Linked DNA regions of Macaca mulatta. The protein of the gene in region 3 purifies or fractionates together with the protein of the main gene of each other region. This does not show direct contact. Links are inferred from orthologs where the notes say so. Each region holds a gene or a part of one and is shown on either strand. Other genes may lie near its edges.

Region 1 (4,859 bases), on a different chromosome or scaffold from region 3:
TTGTACAGCTGCACTAATGGAACTCTGAAGAATGAGGCCCGAGTCAGCAGCACAAGTATATCAGAGGCCGTAACCTTCAACCTTCATCCCAGTCCCAGACTGCTGGGATGCAGAAGGGACCACAAGTAACTGTACCTTGTGTGAACATTAGTATGTTAATATAACTGGGTAGCCTATATTTTAAAACAGAGTTTAGAGCTATTCTAGTCACTCAGAATGATATTTTTGAAGATAGCCCACTTGACTGACATTGTCCTGTGCTGGTTCTGTTGTGTTCTTCCTCCTCCAGGAATGAAATGGAAAGGCATTTTCTGGAGCTTCTTCAGTTTAATATTAATGTTCCTGCCAGTGTTTATGCCAAATACTACTTTGACCTTCGCTCCTTAGCAGATGACAACAACCTGAATTTTCTATTTGCTCCTCTTAGCAAAGAAAGAGCACAGAACCTAGAGGTAAGGCTGTGAAGTCACTAAGTGGGGTTTTCCATCAGCCACCAAAGCCAACATCTGTGACTAAATCATATTAAGTAGTGATTAGGAAAATGGAAAGCTTTAAAATTAACTAACACACTGAAGAGCTTATTAGCCCTTTGGCGTCAGATTTCCTGTGTCTTTTATGGTTTAGACAAGGATCAACATTATTTAAAAATTATACATATTAACTCTTCTGTGACCATAATTCAGAATATTTTAAATCAAATTTAATCTGTTGTTCATGAGGCTTCCTTTTGAACTTCTACCCTTTCATATAACCATACATGAATAATTTTTTTAACTGGGCGCTGTGGTTCATGCCTGTAATCCTAGCACTTTGGGAGGCCGAGGCAGGTGGATCACCTGAGGTTGGGAGTTCGAGACCAGCCTGACCAACATGGAGAAACCCCGTCTCTACTAGAAATACAAAATTAGCCGGGCATAGTGGCACATGCCTGTAATCCCAGCTACTCGGGAGGCTGAGGCAGGAGAATCACTTGAACCGGGGAGGTGGAGGTTGCAGTGAGCCGAGATCGTGCCATTGCACTCTAGCCTGGGCAACAAGAGCGAAACTCCATCTCAAAAAAATATATATATATACACACAAAAAAATATTATTCGGGTATGGGAGCGCATGCCTGTAATCGCAGCTACTTGGGAGGCTGAGGCATGAGCATCGCTTAAACCTGGGAGGTGGAGGTTGCAGTGAGCCAAGATCGCAACACTGCACTCTAGCCTGGGTGACAGAGTGAGATTGTGTCTCCAAAAAAAAAAAAAAAAATGTTCTTTGTGACTATATTCCTAATTTTATCTACATACATAATTCATTTGCCACTCTTGACTGTCTTACTCTGTTTGTAAATTCATGTCATGGTTTACATATCACAGTGCAGTCCTGTGAGTTTTTTAGACAAAGGATTAGTGGGTAAGCCAAGAGACCTATACCCTTCACTAATATAGGGTGCAAGTGTTTCAAATGCTGGATGTAAGTGCTGGGCATGGTGGCTCAAACCTGTAATTCCAGCACTTTGGGAGGCTGAGGCAGGTGGATCACTTGAGATCAGGAGTTCGAGACTAGCCTGTACTAAAAATACAAAAATTAGCCGGGTGTGGTGGCGGCGCCAAGTTACTCAGGAGGCTGAGGCATGAAAATTGCTTGAACCTGGGAGGCGGAGGCTGCAGTGAGCCGAGATCATGCCACTGCACTCTAGCCTGGGCGATAGAGCGAGGCCCTGTCTCAAAAAAAAACAAAAACAAAAACAAAAAAAAGAAAAACAAATAATGTAGGAAGTACATGGGTTTTTTAATGGAAATGGTAACTTTATGGGGCAAAGTAATATTTATGGCTTATGACTCTTGGTGAGTATACAGCAGAATTACAACTGAAGTGGACACATACTTTAAACTGACACTTTCTGTGGCACCATGGTGGTACTTTAGAATAATATGTATTTCTAGACTGGGCTCAGTGGCTCACGCCTGTAATCCCAGCACTTTGGGAGGCCGAGGCAGGTGGATCACCTCCTGGCCAACATGGTGAAACCCCGTCTCTACTAAAAATAAAAAATTAGCCAGGTATGGTGGCACATGCCTGTAATCCCAGCTACTTGGGAGGCTGAGGCAGGAGAATCGCTTGAACCTGGGAGGTTTCACGCAATTGCACTCCAGCCTGGGCAGCAGGAGCGAAACTCCGTCTCAAAAAAAAAAAAGAAAAAAGAAATAATACGTATTTCTACCATAATTAACGTGCATGTGAAGTAACACCTTTTGGTGCATCAGTCATTAGACCTCTCATATATTCCAATATAGTCCAGCACATGCCTGCCTCATTAAAATGTGCTTTGAGTATATAATAGCTAATAAGGATTGGGTAGAATTTGAATAGCTGAATAAACTTATTTTTTTGCACAAGTGTACGTTTGTTATATTTAAGGGATAAGTGCACAGGTAACAGATGCTATTGCTGTTAGGAGCCTATCACAATACCTTTGACATCATTGGGAATCCAACTTCTTAATAATATAATAAATTCCCCTTTATTCTCTGGGAATCTAATCGTAGCCCTTAAAGGATATTACATTGGTGAATTGGCAGGAAGTAGTGTCCCCAGAACCTGGCAGTGTAAAACTCAGCCAAAGTAGCTGTAACTGTGAATTATGTAAAGGAGTCTACATGTGTGGCTTTCATCAGTGTGCTTTTTCAAATGTGGGAACCCTTTTTAAAATTGTACCTGTTTTCTATTTGATTGACTTTCCTAGGCTATTTCTAGATTGTGTGAAGACAAAGACTTGTGTAGAGCCGCTATGAGAAGGTCTTTCAGCGCTGATAACTTCATTGGTATTCAGCGCTCCAAAGCCATCCTCTCTTAAAGGGAGAAATGAGGGGATATAACGTCACGCGACCTTCTACAAAGACTGGAGAAATATCACCTTTCCTGCTCAAAAACCAGCAAAATTAGTATTTTCATCAAAAGGAAAGATCTCAAATTCAAGAGACTCATGGACAACAAGGATTATACTCCATAGGAAAGAATGGGACCTTGTCAATGCAACAGAACACACTTCTGATCTTTTTAATGTAAACAGAGTTACAAAAACCACTCCAAAGTGAAGGCTCCCATCCCACACACAGATATTTACTTACTGTGTGGGCCCGACAGCTGTGAACTATGTAAGGTTTTTTAAACAATAGTTTAAATTTTTAAAGACACTAACCATATAACTTTTATGTTTCTTCCCGTTTTTCTTCCTCCCCCCCATTTTGCTGCATATGCCTTTCAAATCAATGCAGTATTACCATTAAAACATGGGACTCTTCACTAAAGCCACTTAGGAGCAGACTGCAGCATTGTTAGGTATTGAAGGGTTCTTTCTCCCTTCTGTTACCATTGAAGCTGCTAGTCATTGGCAATCATTTTAAACCAAAAAGCTGCTGGATAACATTCGTCATTCATATTTTTTGCAAGCATTACTTTAGCATTTTAGCATGTTTGGGATCATAAACAGGAAGTATCAGTTATTGATATCTACTTCTATTGGGGTCCATGTTGCATTTCTTGTGAACTAAATGGTGCTTCTCATTTTCTGATAATTTTTCTCTTGTTAAATAAAGGTCTTAAAAGATTTTTTCGGCCGGGTGCGGTGGCTCAAGCCTGTAATCCCAGCACTTTGGGAGGCCGAGATGGGCGGATCACGAGGTCAGGAGATCGAGACCATCCTGGCTAACACAGTGAAACCCCGTCTCTACTAAGAAATACAAAAAATAGCCGGGCGAGGTGGCAGCGCCTGTAGTCCCAGCTACTCGGGAGGCTGAGGCCGGAGAATGGCGTGAACCCGGGAGGCGGAGCTTGCAGTGAGCTGAGATCCGGCCACTGCACTCCAGCCTGGGCTACAGAGCGAGACTCCGTCTCCAAAAAAAAAAAAAAAGATTTTTTCATAATGCCAACCAACATGGTGGTTCAGTGATGATGAAAAAAAGTAAAGCAGTTTTAAGCTTTAATATAGTTTGGGCCCTCCAGGGCACTGCAGCATGAGTATAAATGCTATAAACCTTTAAAAAACATCGTTTGAAAGTTTTTTTTTTTTTTTTTTTTTTGAGACGGAGTCTCGCTCTGTCGCCCAGGCTGGAGTGCAGTGGCGCGATCTCGGCTCACTGCAAGCTCCGCCTCCCGGGTTCACGCCATTCTCCTGCCTCAGCCTCCTGAGTAGCTGGGACTACAGGCGCCCGCCACCGCACCCGGCTAATTTTTTCTATTTTTAGTAGAGACGGGGTTTCACCATGGTCTCGATCTCCTGACCTTGTGATCCACCCGCCTCGGCCTCCCAAAGTGCTGGGATTGCAGGCGTGAGCCACCGCGCCCGGCTTGTTTTTTTTTTTTTTTTAAGAGATAGGGTCTTACTGCGTTGTCCAGGCTGGAGTGCAGTGGCTGTTCACAGGTGCAATCATAATGCACTGCAGCCTAGAACTTCCTGACCTTAAGCCATCTTCTAGCCTCAGCACACAAGTAGCTGGGACTAAAGTGCACCTAGCACTTGTCTCCTGAATATTAAGCTTTTAATTTTTTGTTTTGGTCACTCTTGATAGCAGACATTGACTGAAACAAAAAATTAAAAGTTTTATATTCAGAATTGGCAAGATGAAGTTGGTGTGGTGGTGCACGCCTATAATCCCAGCTACTTGGGAGGCTGAGGCTGGAGGATTGCTTGAGGTCAAGTATTGGAGGCTGCAGTGTACCATGATGGTGCCTATAAGAATAGCTACTACACTCCAGCCTGGACAACGTTATCAAGACCCCATCTCTTAGAAAAATGCAAAATTAAATGCAAAAGAAATGGGCTGGGCATAGTGATTCATGCCTATAATCTCAGTACTCTGGGAGGCTGAGGT
Region 2 (4,859 bases), on a different chromosome or scaffold from region 3:
ACAACAACTTCAGGTCAGGAAAAAAACAAATGCAAGAAAATCGGAAGGCACAAGCACCCATGTGATCTAGAATGCTCTTGGGGTGAGGAATAAGGAGGGAAAGGGATACTTTTGGTTCAGCACTACAGTCAATTTCACCATTGTTGAAGAAAAACGGTATAAAATGAGGGTGTACAGAAATGGAACGAGCACAGCCCACTGGTGAGGAAGAAAGCTCAGAAGACAGCGCGCAGAAATAGTGCGGAGAGAAATGACCAGTACTATTTATTTGGAAGTCTGCGCCATGGTGGGTACAAACTACATCCCCTGCTCTGTGGGACCAAAATCAAAACAGGGCAAAAACAAACGAACAAAAATCCCCCCCATCCCAAAAAAGCAGCAGAAGGAATGCAAGAAGTCTTACAGGACACACCGGTCCAGCCCTGGGTGCAGCCAGCTCTGCATCCACCGCTGCGCTCACCAACTTCAGCTACCGCCCCCACGGGGACTCCAGAGGGCCGGGCCGCTTAATCATTTTCCCTGCCTCTCCACGACTTCCCTTTCCCTTTATTTCCTCCTGCAGGATTGGAGTCTGCTTCCTCCACAAAGGAAGTGCTGTTGCTGACAGTGGTGAGAGCCAGCTGGGACCTCCAGGGTACTGACGCTTCCTCCAAGCCTTGCTGCGTGGGCGCTCATCCAGGCAGCCTGACGGAACTATGCGTTAAAAAAGAAAAGGAAAGAAAAAACAAAAACAAACCCACCCCAAGTCTGTCTTTTCTCAAACTGAAGGAGAAACTAAGGGATGGTGTGGCCTCCGGCGGGCCTCCGCAGTTAGGAAATGATGGCCGGGGACCACCGGGGCAGAGTCAGGTTGTCTGCACTGGCTGAGCGCTTCCTCGCAGATCTTCTCAGGTCCTTGTACTTGTCCTCGCAGAGGCGAGAGATGGCCTGAGGGGCAAGAGAGACAGTGTGGGTCAGGGCGGGCCATATCTGCGCCCATTGCTCACTCGTCCTGGGCGCCGAGGGTGCTGCATGATGGACAGGCAGAGCCCCTGCCCCTCTGGAGCTCCAGCCCACAGCCCAGCTCTCTGCTGGCCGCAGGAAGATATGAAGGGAGTGTAGACTCAGCTCTTGTTTCCCAAGAGCTCACGGTCTGAGAAAAGACTCTCAGGATGTGAAATAACAGGACAGTGTCACCTTGCAATTGGCCCAACCAGGGTCAATGCTGGCTCCCCACCCTCGGGGTGTGGGACGGCCCTGCCCCCACGGGTGCTGTTTCGAATCCTTAGCATCCTCATCTGCAAGCGGGGCAAGAACAGCACCATCCTGGCAGGGCTGGCGTCAAGCACAGGCTTGCAGCTGAGCCTCACAAGGAGGAGAGCTCGGCCACCGTCGGCAAGGAGAGCTGCAGCCAGACCACCAGCTAGGGACTCCACAGAAAAGGATGGAGGACTTAAGTCACCTCTAGAGGGTTGCTGAAAGAGGGACCTAGGAGGATCACAAAAACATTAAGATGTGCAGATAATTAACACTTTGGTGATGAGGACAGGGGCCGTGCTACCCTGGGAACAACTCTCCCAGGGCTGCCACTGGGTGTGGCTAGAACCAGCTGATGACAAAAGCTGAGCCCGCTGTCCCAGGAGGGGATGGTCTGAGTCGTGGGAAGGCTTTGATTATTTGGAGAAGAGAAAGAGCAGCCTTGTCAGGACAGACTGGCCTTCTCTTCTGGCCCGGTGAAACCCTAGGGCCCGTGGCACAGCAGCCCCAGAAGCAGGTGAGCTCTCCCTTCTCCGTACTCGCAGAAACTTAACAGAGGGAACGGCAGGTACCAACTCCACCAACCTGGGCCTGTGCTCTCAGGGTGGCTGACCCAGAGCCCCATATATTCTTCAGCAGAGAACACAGACTCGCTTCCCTGCAGAGCTGTGTAGCTGCCAGGAGCTCCGGCTTGTCTCATCAGCACTGAAGTAGCCACTGGAGTCATGGCTGGTGATGAGGGGGACCAGGGACCGCAGCACAGGCTGAGAGGGGGCTCACGCTCTCAGGGAAAGCCAGATTCTACCTCACATCTGTGCTTGCGAAGGCTTCACAACATCTGCCTTGCAGGAAATCCTGCAGAGGGAGGGTTTTCCATTTTTTCCTCGAATAGATGATAACTGGGAGACTGGGTGGGCTTTCCATTCCAAAGGCCGGCACACAATCACAGGGGCATGGTTGAGTTCTGAAATGCTCACTGGATTTTTATTTCTAACCAGTGCTATGCATCCAGTCTTTTCTATGGTTTACTTCTTGGAATTAACATATTACTTTTTAAATTTTTATTTAACATTTTCCTTTCTTAAGCATGTAATCCGTAACAGCTTTCTTCTCCCAGCTCTAGACCACCGTGTGGCCAGGCCATCACAATGCCACACCAACTTGCACTGAGTGACAACATCCCACCTGGGATGGGCAGTGGCATGGGCAGCACGAAGACCTCTGGGTCTCACAAGCTGGGAACACGACTGTGCCATCCACTACTTGGAAAGGCTCTGTGGGATGAGACCAAGGCAGGACTGGGGACAAAGGTGCAGAGGGGAAAAGCTGGGGCACACCCTCTCTGGAGGAGGGGTCTCTCCCCAGGGATCCTGCTTCATTACCACCCCATCCCTTTTCCTCCTGCCAAAAGGTCAAGTGGGAAGAGCCTGGTGAGCATATGAGGTAGAGGCACATACAAATATGCTGTGATGAGACCCAAAGTTACACAGCTTAACGATGGCCCAAAACCCAGACCAAGACTGGTGGTGCTGCCCTCAGCTCTAACTGGGCTATGGAAAAAATATTTTGGAAAAAAAAATCAAAAGCAGAATCAAACCTTTTTGGATTCCCAATTGTTAATATCATCTGGCAGCTTTTTCCTATAAAAGTGCATGTTGAGAAATACCTTTTTGAGGGGCTTATATGGTGGGAAATGCTTTTTGGGGGGACTTATAATTTTTTTAAACCTATCCGCAAAGATAAGGGTTTTAAAAAATATTTTATTTCAAAATAGAATTGCGGTGGCTCATGTCTGTAATACCAGCACTTTGGGAGGTCAAGGTGGGTAGATCACAAGGTCAGGAGTTCTAGACCAGCCTGGCCAACATAATGAAATCCTGGATGTCTCTACTAAAAATACAAAAAAAATTAGCCGGGCACAGTGGCGCACATCTGTAGTCCCAGCTACTAGGGAGGCTGAGGCAGGAGAATCACTTGAACCCAGGAGGTGGAGGTTGTGATGAGCTGAGATTGCGCCACTGCACTCTAGCCTGGGCAACACAGCAAGACTCCATCTCAAAAAAAAAAAAAAACTATGTTTATTAAGTGATATTAAACTGGTTATTAAAAATATGAAGCGGTTGGCCAGGTGCAGTGGCTCACATCTGTAATCCCAGCACTTGGGGAGGCCAAGGCAGGTGGATCACCTGAGGTCGGGAGTTTGAGACCAGCCTGGCCAACATCGTGAAACCCCGTCTCTACTAAAAATAAAAAAAATCAGCTGGGTGTGGTGGTAGGTACCTGTAATCCCAGCTACTTGGGAGGCTGAAGCAGGAAAACTGCTTGAACCCGGGAGGCAGAGACTGCAGTGGGCCAAGATCGCGCCACTGTACTCCAGCCTGGGTGACAGAGTGAGACTCTGTCTCAAAGAAAAAAGAAGGACAAATTATAATGAACTGCCCAGCTATATATCCTAGTAGCTCATCTTTATTTTACATCATGTAGTGGGGAAAATGATCAGTGTGACCACATACATCCCTGGTCCTCAGATGATGCATCAGCAACACTGCACCACAAAATGCTGTTTTAAAGCATCTTACCTCAAGCTTGTGAGCCCTCTCCCTGCTCAGGGGCTCCAAGGGAAAGCTCAGGTTGTTCGCTTCTGCCAGAGAACGAAGATCAAAATAATACTTGGCATAGACACTGGAAGGAACATTGATGTTGAACTGCAGCAATTCAAGAAACTGTCGCTCTAGCTCGTTCCTGCAAAGCAAAGACAAAAATAGCCTGTGCTTAGCCACCACACCAGGCCGCATGGCCTGCCAAGGCAAGTTGCTGGAGACCTGAGTCCAGAAAACTGCATCCACCAGGGAGACCAGTGATCTAATTAAATGTCTGTCTGGACACCAGAGTTGCAGTCTCACCACCATATTGGGATTAAAAGCCAAATCCACTTGATCTGGTGCCCAGGATGAGGACTGATTAATTGGGATCATCACCAGGAAGGGTTTCAGGGTGAATCACTTCACTGAGATCTAACACACACATAGCAGGCTCTGGCTGCAGGTCTCCGTGAGGACAGGCTGCTAACACAGGGTGGATGGAGCAGCCAAGAGCTGCCATGTAGAGTCCAGTGAGGGTCCTTCGGCAGGGCCCCAGAGGAAAACACTCGGCCTCTGCAGACCTAGAGGACCTTGGTTTCCTTGGTGGCCCCTCCCTGCCTCCAGGGAGAAAAGAGGGGAGGAACTGTGTATACGCTTTCTTAGGCAAAAGGCAGGGATTATGGGGGGGGAGTGTCCAGTCTCTGCCTCAGTCTCTTAGAAAGAGAACTCACAAGCTGGGAAGAATGCAAGCAGTAGTTCCCACACTTGAGCATGCACTCCATCGCCTGGTGAGCTTGTTAGAACAGACATGGGGCTTCACTCTCACACTGTGGGGATCAGTAGGTCTGGGGTGGGGCCTGGGAATGTGCATTTCTAAGGAGTTCCCTGGTGATGGTGAGGCTGAGGCTCTTGCCTCGGGGCCACACTCTGAGAACCACTCAACTAAAAAGGTAAGTCAGGAGAGGAGGTGCTGAGACCTACCCCGCCAGCCCATCTACATGCTGATGGGTTGCTGGGAGAAATTTAAAAACTTCTACTTTG
Region 3 (4,959 bases):
AGGACATAGAGTGCGATGACCAGGTCCTTAGTGGTTGGTGTGGTGAGTATCCTTGAGTATGAGAGTAGTCTGAGGATGGGTGTATGTCTTTGGGGATCAGGAAGGGTCAGGCAGGACATGTGCCCTTTTTGGGGTGAGGTTTTATGTCCAGTTTCTTGCTGCCTCCTTCACTTTTTTGAAATCTAAAAAGCTCAATCAACTGAAATGATATTTAAAAGTTTCCTTGAGTATAAATGTTCACTTATCTCTGTTCACAGGGGCTTGCCTGAGCCCCCCCCATCCCCCTTTCTGGGAGTGTCATGTGATATACAGATTTTACACCCCATCTTCCTAAAATCCCAAGAAACTGAACTCCAGAGCATGTCCAGCCCTTGGGGTTTCCAGTTAGAGGTCATGGACCCATGGCTCCTCCTGGCTCCCTCCCCATCCTCCATTCAGCCCTACTTCCAGTCTCCCCCAGCCCCTCCCCTACTCCCTGTCGCAACATGCAAAGCAACTGGGTATCTGTGCCATATGGGGACACAAGGTTGTCTTTGGGAGCTGGCCATGCTTTACCTTCCTCGCCTTAGGCCCAGTATTCAGCCTCCCACGTCAGGATGTTTTGTCATTATCCTGGGTTCTCCATGGATGGACCTCATCCTGTATCTGAGGTCTTTCTGCTAGGGTGGCCCCTACCCCTCCTGGGGATAGTGAGTTCAGCCAGGTGGGGGTGGGAACTGCTGGGGGAAGCACCTGATTTCAAGGTAGCAGATGACCCATTTCTCTCCTCAAATCCAGCCCCAGTCTCATCCTCGACCTCCTATCTAGCTCTACTTCCCTTGGGCCCTGGGCCATCTTAGGCCCTGCTGTGAGTCCAGATGGTTCCTGGGCCAGGTCTTTCCCCCTCCTTGCTGGCCCAGAGCCCAAGAGGAAGCAGAAGACGGCTGGCCTAAGCCTTTTGGTGGCCCCATTCCCTTCAGCAATCCATCTAGGTCATCTTCCTGTCGATGCCAGCATCCCTGGGCTACCTTGTTTAGGGTTGTTCAATGAATAGCAGGGACTCATCACCTCAGCAGAGGTTGGTCCTAGGCCCTCAGCCCCCTGATTCACTTATTTCTGCCATAAGCACTTTTTGAGCATCTACTCTGTGTCAGTCACTATTCCAGGTCCTCAGGACATAGCCGTGACCTAAACACAGAAATCTACCCTGGCGGAGCTGATCTTCTAGTTGTGGCGGTGAGGAGATAGACAGTAAAGACTAAAGAAACAAATAAGTAGGTGGTGTCATTTCTGAGGAGGTAATGAGTGCTGGGGGGATAACTGGCAAGGTAAGGGAGCTCGGGATGGTTGAGATTTTAAATAGGGTTATTCATGGAGGCCTCATGAAAAGGTGACTTTTGAGCAATGGCCTGAAGGGAGAGGGGAGTGAGCCATTTCGAAATTTAGGGGAAGGGTGTTCCAAGGTACCAAGAACAGCCAGTGTGAAGGCCCCGAGGTGGGATTCTGCTGGGTGTGGTTGCAGAACAGCAAGTAAGAATGGTGGCAGGGCGGTTGGGGGGGGTGGTGGGCAGAGAGGTAATAGGGCCAAATGAGGTAAAGAAAGACCTGTGGGCCACATTGAGGACTGGGGTGTGTATTTGGGGTGATGGGAAACGTAGTACATTCTTGAGTAGAGGAGAAATGTGACCTGGCTTGTAAAAGCCTAGATTGGACCCTAGGGGTCCTAACCTGATCAAACCTTTCTGGCAGCCCTGAGAACAGCTGGTATACACTGAGATCCCCCCCTCCACACAATCCCACCCAGTGGGTGGGTCTGGGCAGGACACCCTGACACACACTCCCCCCCCCACCCACCTGGGTAGATGAATGGGATGATGCAGTGGTTGTCATGACGATGAGTGCTAGAGAAGTCAGGAGGAGGATCCCTGTGGCCACAGGGAATAATCTGCCTTGGCCTTTGAGGGTGGTGCCAGGAGAACTATGCCACTCTATGGGCGTGCTCGAGGCCATGTCACCCATCCTTCAATTCTGGGCACACGCCCTGGCCGACCCATGGCTGGGCCCATCACTGCAGCTGTACCTGAGAAGATCTGCTATGGAGCCTTCTGCTCCTGCAGTGGGGCTTTTCCCCTAGAGGCCAACAATCCATCGTTTGGGCCCTTGCCCTCAATCAGCCACCTAAATCTGAGAACTCAGGTGGGCTACTTAGGAGCAGGGTCCCAGTGGAGTTGGCTCTGTGGGTGGGCAGGTACTTACAAAGATCCCCGTCCATGTTGGGTTTCCAGAAATCCTGAGTGGCTCTGGGGTCCATATTGGTTGAGTGAGCACTGACAAGTCCATGTCAGTGCCCCCTGCTAGACTGTGGGCTTTAGGGGACCCATGGTGATCAAGCAAATGCTAATATGAGACCCATTTCCATCCTTGTCCCTTGCTCAGATCGCCATGGATCGGATGAAGAAGATCAAACGGCAGCTGTCAATGACACTCCGAGGTGGCCGAGGCATAGACAAGACCAATGGTGCCCCTGAGCAGATAGGCCTGGATGAGAGTGGTGGTGGTGGCGGCAGTGACCCTGGAGAGGCCCCCACACGTGCTGCTCCTGGGGAACTTCGTTCTGCACGGGGCCCACTCAGCTCTGCACCAGGTGGGTCCACTGGCTACCCCCTCTCCCATATGACCCCAGGCTGCTTCCCAGGTGTTGCCTCGTGGCCACATTCCTCATTTTCCTCTCAATTTTCTGCCCTTTCTCTGCCCCCCATGTGCTCTCTTCTCCGCCTTCCTTCCCATCTTCTCTCAACACCCTCGGTCTATCTGTCCATCTGCGCTCCTCTCCTTGCCTTTCTGCCCAGGCCCCGTTGTAGGGGGGCACAGGGTGCCTCGCCTGTCACAGTTGCCCCAAGGCTCCCTCTGCCCTTCTGCCCTCTGTGATGGCCTCCTCAGGCCTCTGGTACCTGCCTGCCCTGGGCCTGCCTTCCCAGGACCCTTGGCTTCCCCTGCCACCACCTAGCTACCAGCTCTGAGCTCAGCTTTCCCTTGGAAGGAAAGGTTCCACCAGGTGACTTTTGCCTCCCCACCCCCCAGTTCAACCTGTCCTAGATGGACCTGAGCTTCCCTGGGCCCTATCACCCTCTCCCCGAGGGACTCCAGGTTTCCTCTGGGGGCCATGTGCACACATGTGTGATGATGGAATATGTCTCATGGGGGAGGGGGTGTCCTGTGGTTTCTGACCCCACCTGGCCTGCCCTACCCCTCTCCCTGCCACCAGAGATTGTGCACGAGGACTTGAAGATGGGGTCTGATGGGGAGAGTGACCAGGCTTCAGCCACTTCCTCGGATGAGGTGCAGTCTCCAGTGAGAGTGCGCATGCGCAACCATCCCCCACGCAAGATCTCCACTGAGGTGCTTGACCCAGTCTGGATGGTGGAGGAGCTGGAAAAGGGGGTTGGACCTGGGGAGGTGGAACTCATGATCCTGTTTCTCTCTCGCCTTACCTGCTAGGACATCAACAAGCGCCTATCGCTACCAGCTGACATCCGGCTGCCTGAGGGCTACCTGGAGAAGCTGACCCTCAATAGCCCCATCTTTGACAAGCCCCTCAGCCGCCGCCTCCGTCGTGTCAGCCTAGTAAGCACCTTGTGTTCCTGTCCTCTCCTTTTTCTCCTCCTCTCCCAGACCCTTCTGAACTTGCTTCAACCTGCCTCATTTGTCCCACAGTCTGAGATTGGCTTTGGGAAACTGGAGACCTACATTAAGCTGGACAAGCTGGGCGAGGTGAGAGGCAGCTAGGAGGCCCATGGTGGGGATGAAGGTCAGTGGGAACTCCTGGAATCTCATAGCACCTCTCCTGTCACACTTCCTCACATTCCAGGGTACCTATGCCACCGTCTACAAAGGCAAAAGCAAGCTCACAGACAACCTTGTGGCACTCAAGGAGATCAGACTGGAACATGAAGAGGGGGCACCCTGCACCGCCATCCGGGAAGGTACACACCCCCATCCCATCTGCCCCAGGCTTCCCCAACTCACCCCTGGTGCACACACTCCATAATGAGAACAAAGACTGGTTCTGGGACCCCCCGCAAAACACTCTGGCTTTCATGGGAATGCCTGTTACCCACATATCCAGGTAATAATCAGGGTAACCAGGAATCTGTTCCCATTTGGATAAAAGGTGGATGAATTGCAAACCAGGGTTTGGTTCCGAGAACACCCCTGGAAGTGCTCACCAATTTATTTACTGTAACAATTTCTAGTCAGAATATCACATGGAATGAATTTGAATTGCACTGAAATTGAGTGTGCAAATTCAATTTCACATGATGCTGCAGGCCTGTGTACTGAGGGTTGGAGCCAGGCCCCTTCCCAGAAACCAAAAACAGGTTGTGAAAATCTAGTGTCACATGAGCCTGGGGCTGCAATCCCAGGTTCTTGCTCCATACTCTCCTCTGAGTCTTGTTTTCCACATCTGCAACATGGGGAGACAACTTGCATGAGGTGGGTTAGAGCTGGTGGCTCCGAGGCATTACCTTGAACTGTCTGGAGAAAGAAAAAAAACCTGGGCTTGTCCCTTTCTAGTCCTTGTCCTCACCTCTGTCCTGAGGGTAGGACCCTGACTCTTCCCGTCCCACTCCCATGCTTCCTGCAGTGTCCCTGCTCAAGGACCTCAAACATGCCAACATCGTTACACTACATGACATTATCCACACGGAGAAGTCCCTCACCCTTGTCTTTGAGTACCTGGTAAGGCTGGGTGGCACTGGGTCCCGGGGGGAGGTGGGGAGAAGGCCAGGAGCCGTAGGAAGTAACCCTCATTCCTGTACCACCTCTTCTTTCCTCAGGACAAGGACCTGAAGCAGTACCTGGATGACTGTGGGAACATCATCAACATGCACAACGTGAAAGTGGGTGTGGGGCAGGAAGCAGGGGCACAAGGGGGCCCCCACTCACCCACTCCAACCCACAAATCTCCCAGAAATGGAC

Evidence for each region.
Region 1: the proteins of CDK16 (region 3) and CCNYL1 purify together in Homo sapiens (affinity purification with mass spectrometry; 4 studies listed by BioGRID and IntAct, counting the BioPlex papers as one, with this or other methods). This does not show direct contact. The link is inferred for Macaca mulatta from reciprocal best matches to the Homo sapiens genes CDK16 and CCNYL1.
Region 2: the proteins of CDK16 (region 3) and CCNY purify together in Homo sapiens (affinity purification with mass spectrometry; 3 studies listed by BioGRID and IntAct, counting the BioPlex papers as one, with this or other methods). This does not show direct contact. The link is inferred for Macaca mulatta from reciprocal best matches to the Homo sapiens genes CDK16 and CCNY.

The regions. Positions count from the first base shown.
Region 1 is NC_133417.1:113,011,072-113,015,930, forward strand, and holds the end of CCNYL1 (cyclin-Y-like protein 1), read left to right. Parts: intron 1-289; coding exon 290-452; intron 453-2,731; coding exon 2,732-2,842; 3' UTR 2,843-3,768; downstream 3,769-4,859. UniProt on the Homo sapiens protein: Key regulator of Wnt signaling implicated in various biological processes including male fertility, embryonic neurogenesis and cortex development. Activates the cyclin-dependent kinase CDK16, and promotes sperm maturation.
Region 2 is NC_133414.1:36,964,749-36,969,607, reverse strand, and holds part of CCNY (cyclin-Y), read right to left. Parts: intron 3,979-4,859; coding exon 3,816-3,978; intron 928-3,815; coding exon 811-927; 3' UTR 1-810. UniProt on the Homo sapiens protein: Positive regulatory subunit of the cyclin-dependent kinases CDK14/PFTK1 and CDK16.
Region 3 is NC_133426.1:47,253,163-47,258,121, forward strand, and holds the start of CDK16 (cyclin-dependent kinase 16), read left to right. Parts: upstream 1-1,913; 5' UTR 1,914-1,959; coding exon 1,960-2,175; intron 2,176-2,386; coding exon of another isoform or gene 2,387-2,415; coding exon 2,416-2,623; coding exon of another isoform or gene 2,624-2,650; intron 2,651-3,207; coding exon of another isoform or gene 3,208-3,244; coding exon 3,245-3,378; intron 3,379-3,477; coding exon 3,478-3,603; intron 3,604-3,693; coding exon 3,694-3,750; intron 3,751-3,847; coding exon 3,848-3,962; intron 3,963-4,624; coding exon 4,625-4,719; intron 4,720-4,817; coding exon 4,818-4,880; intron 4,881-4,959. UniProt on the Homo sapiens protein: Protein kinase that plays a role in vesicle-mediated transport processes and exocytosis. Regulates GH1 release by brain neurons. Phosphorylates NSF, and thereby regulates NSF oligomerization. Required for normal spermatogenesis.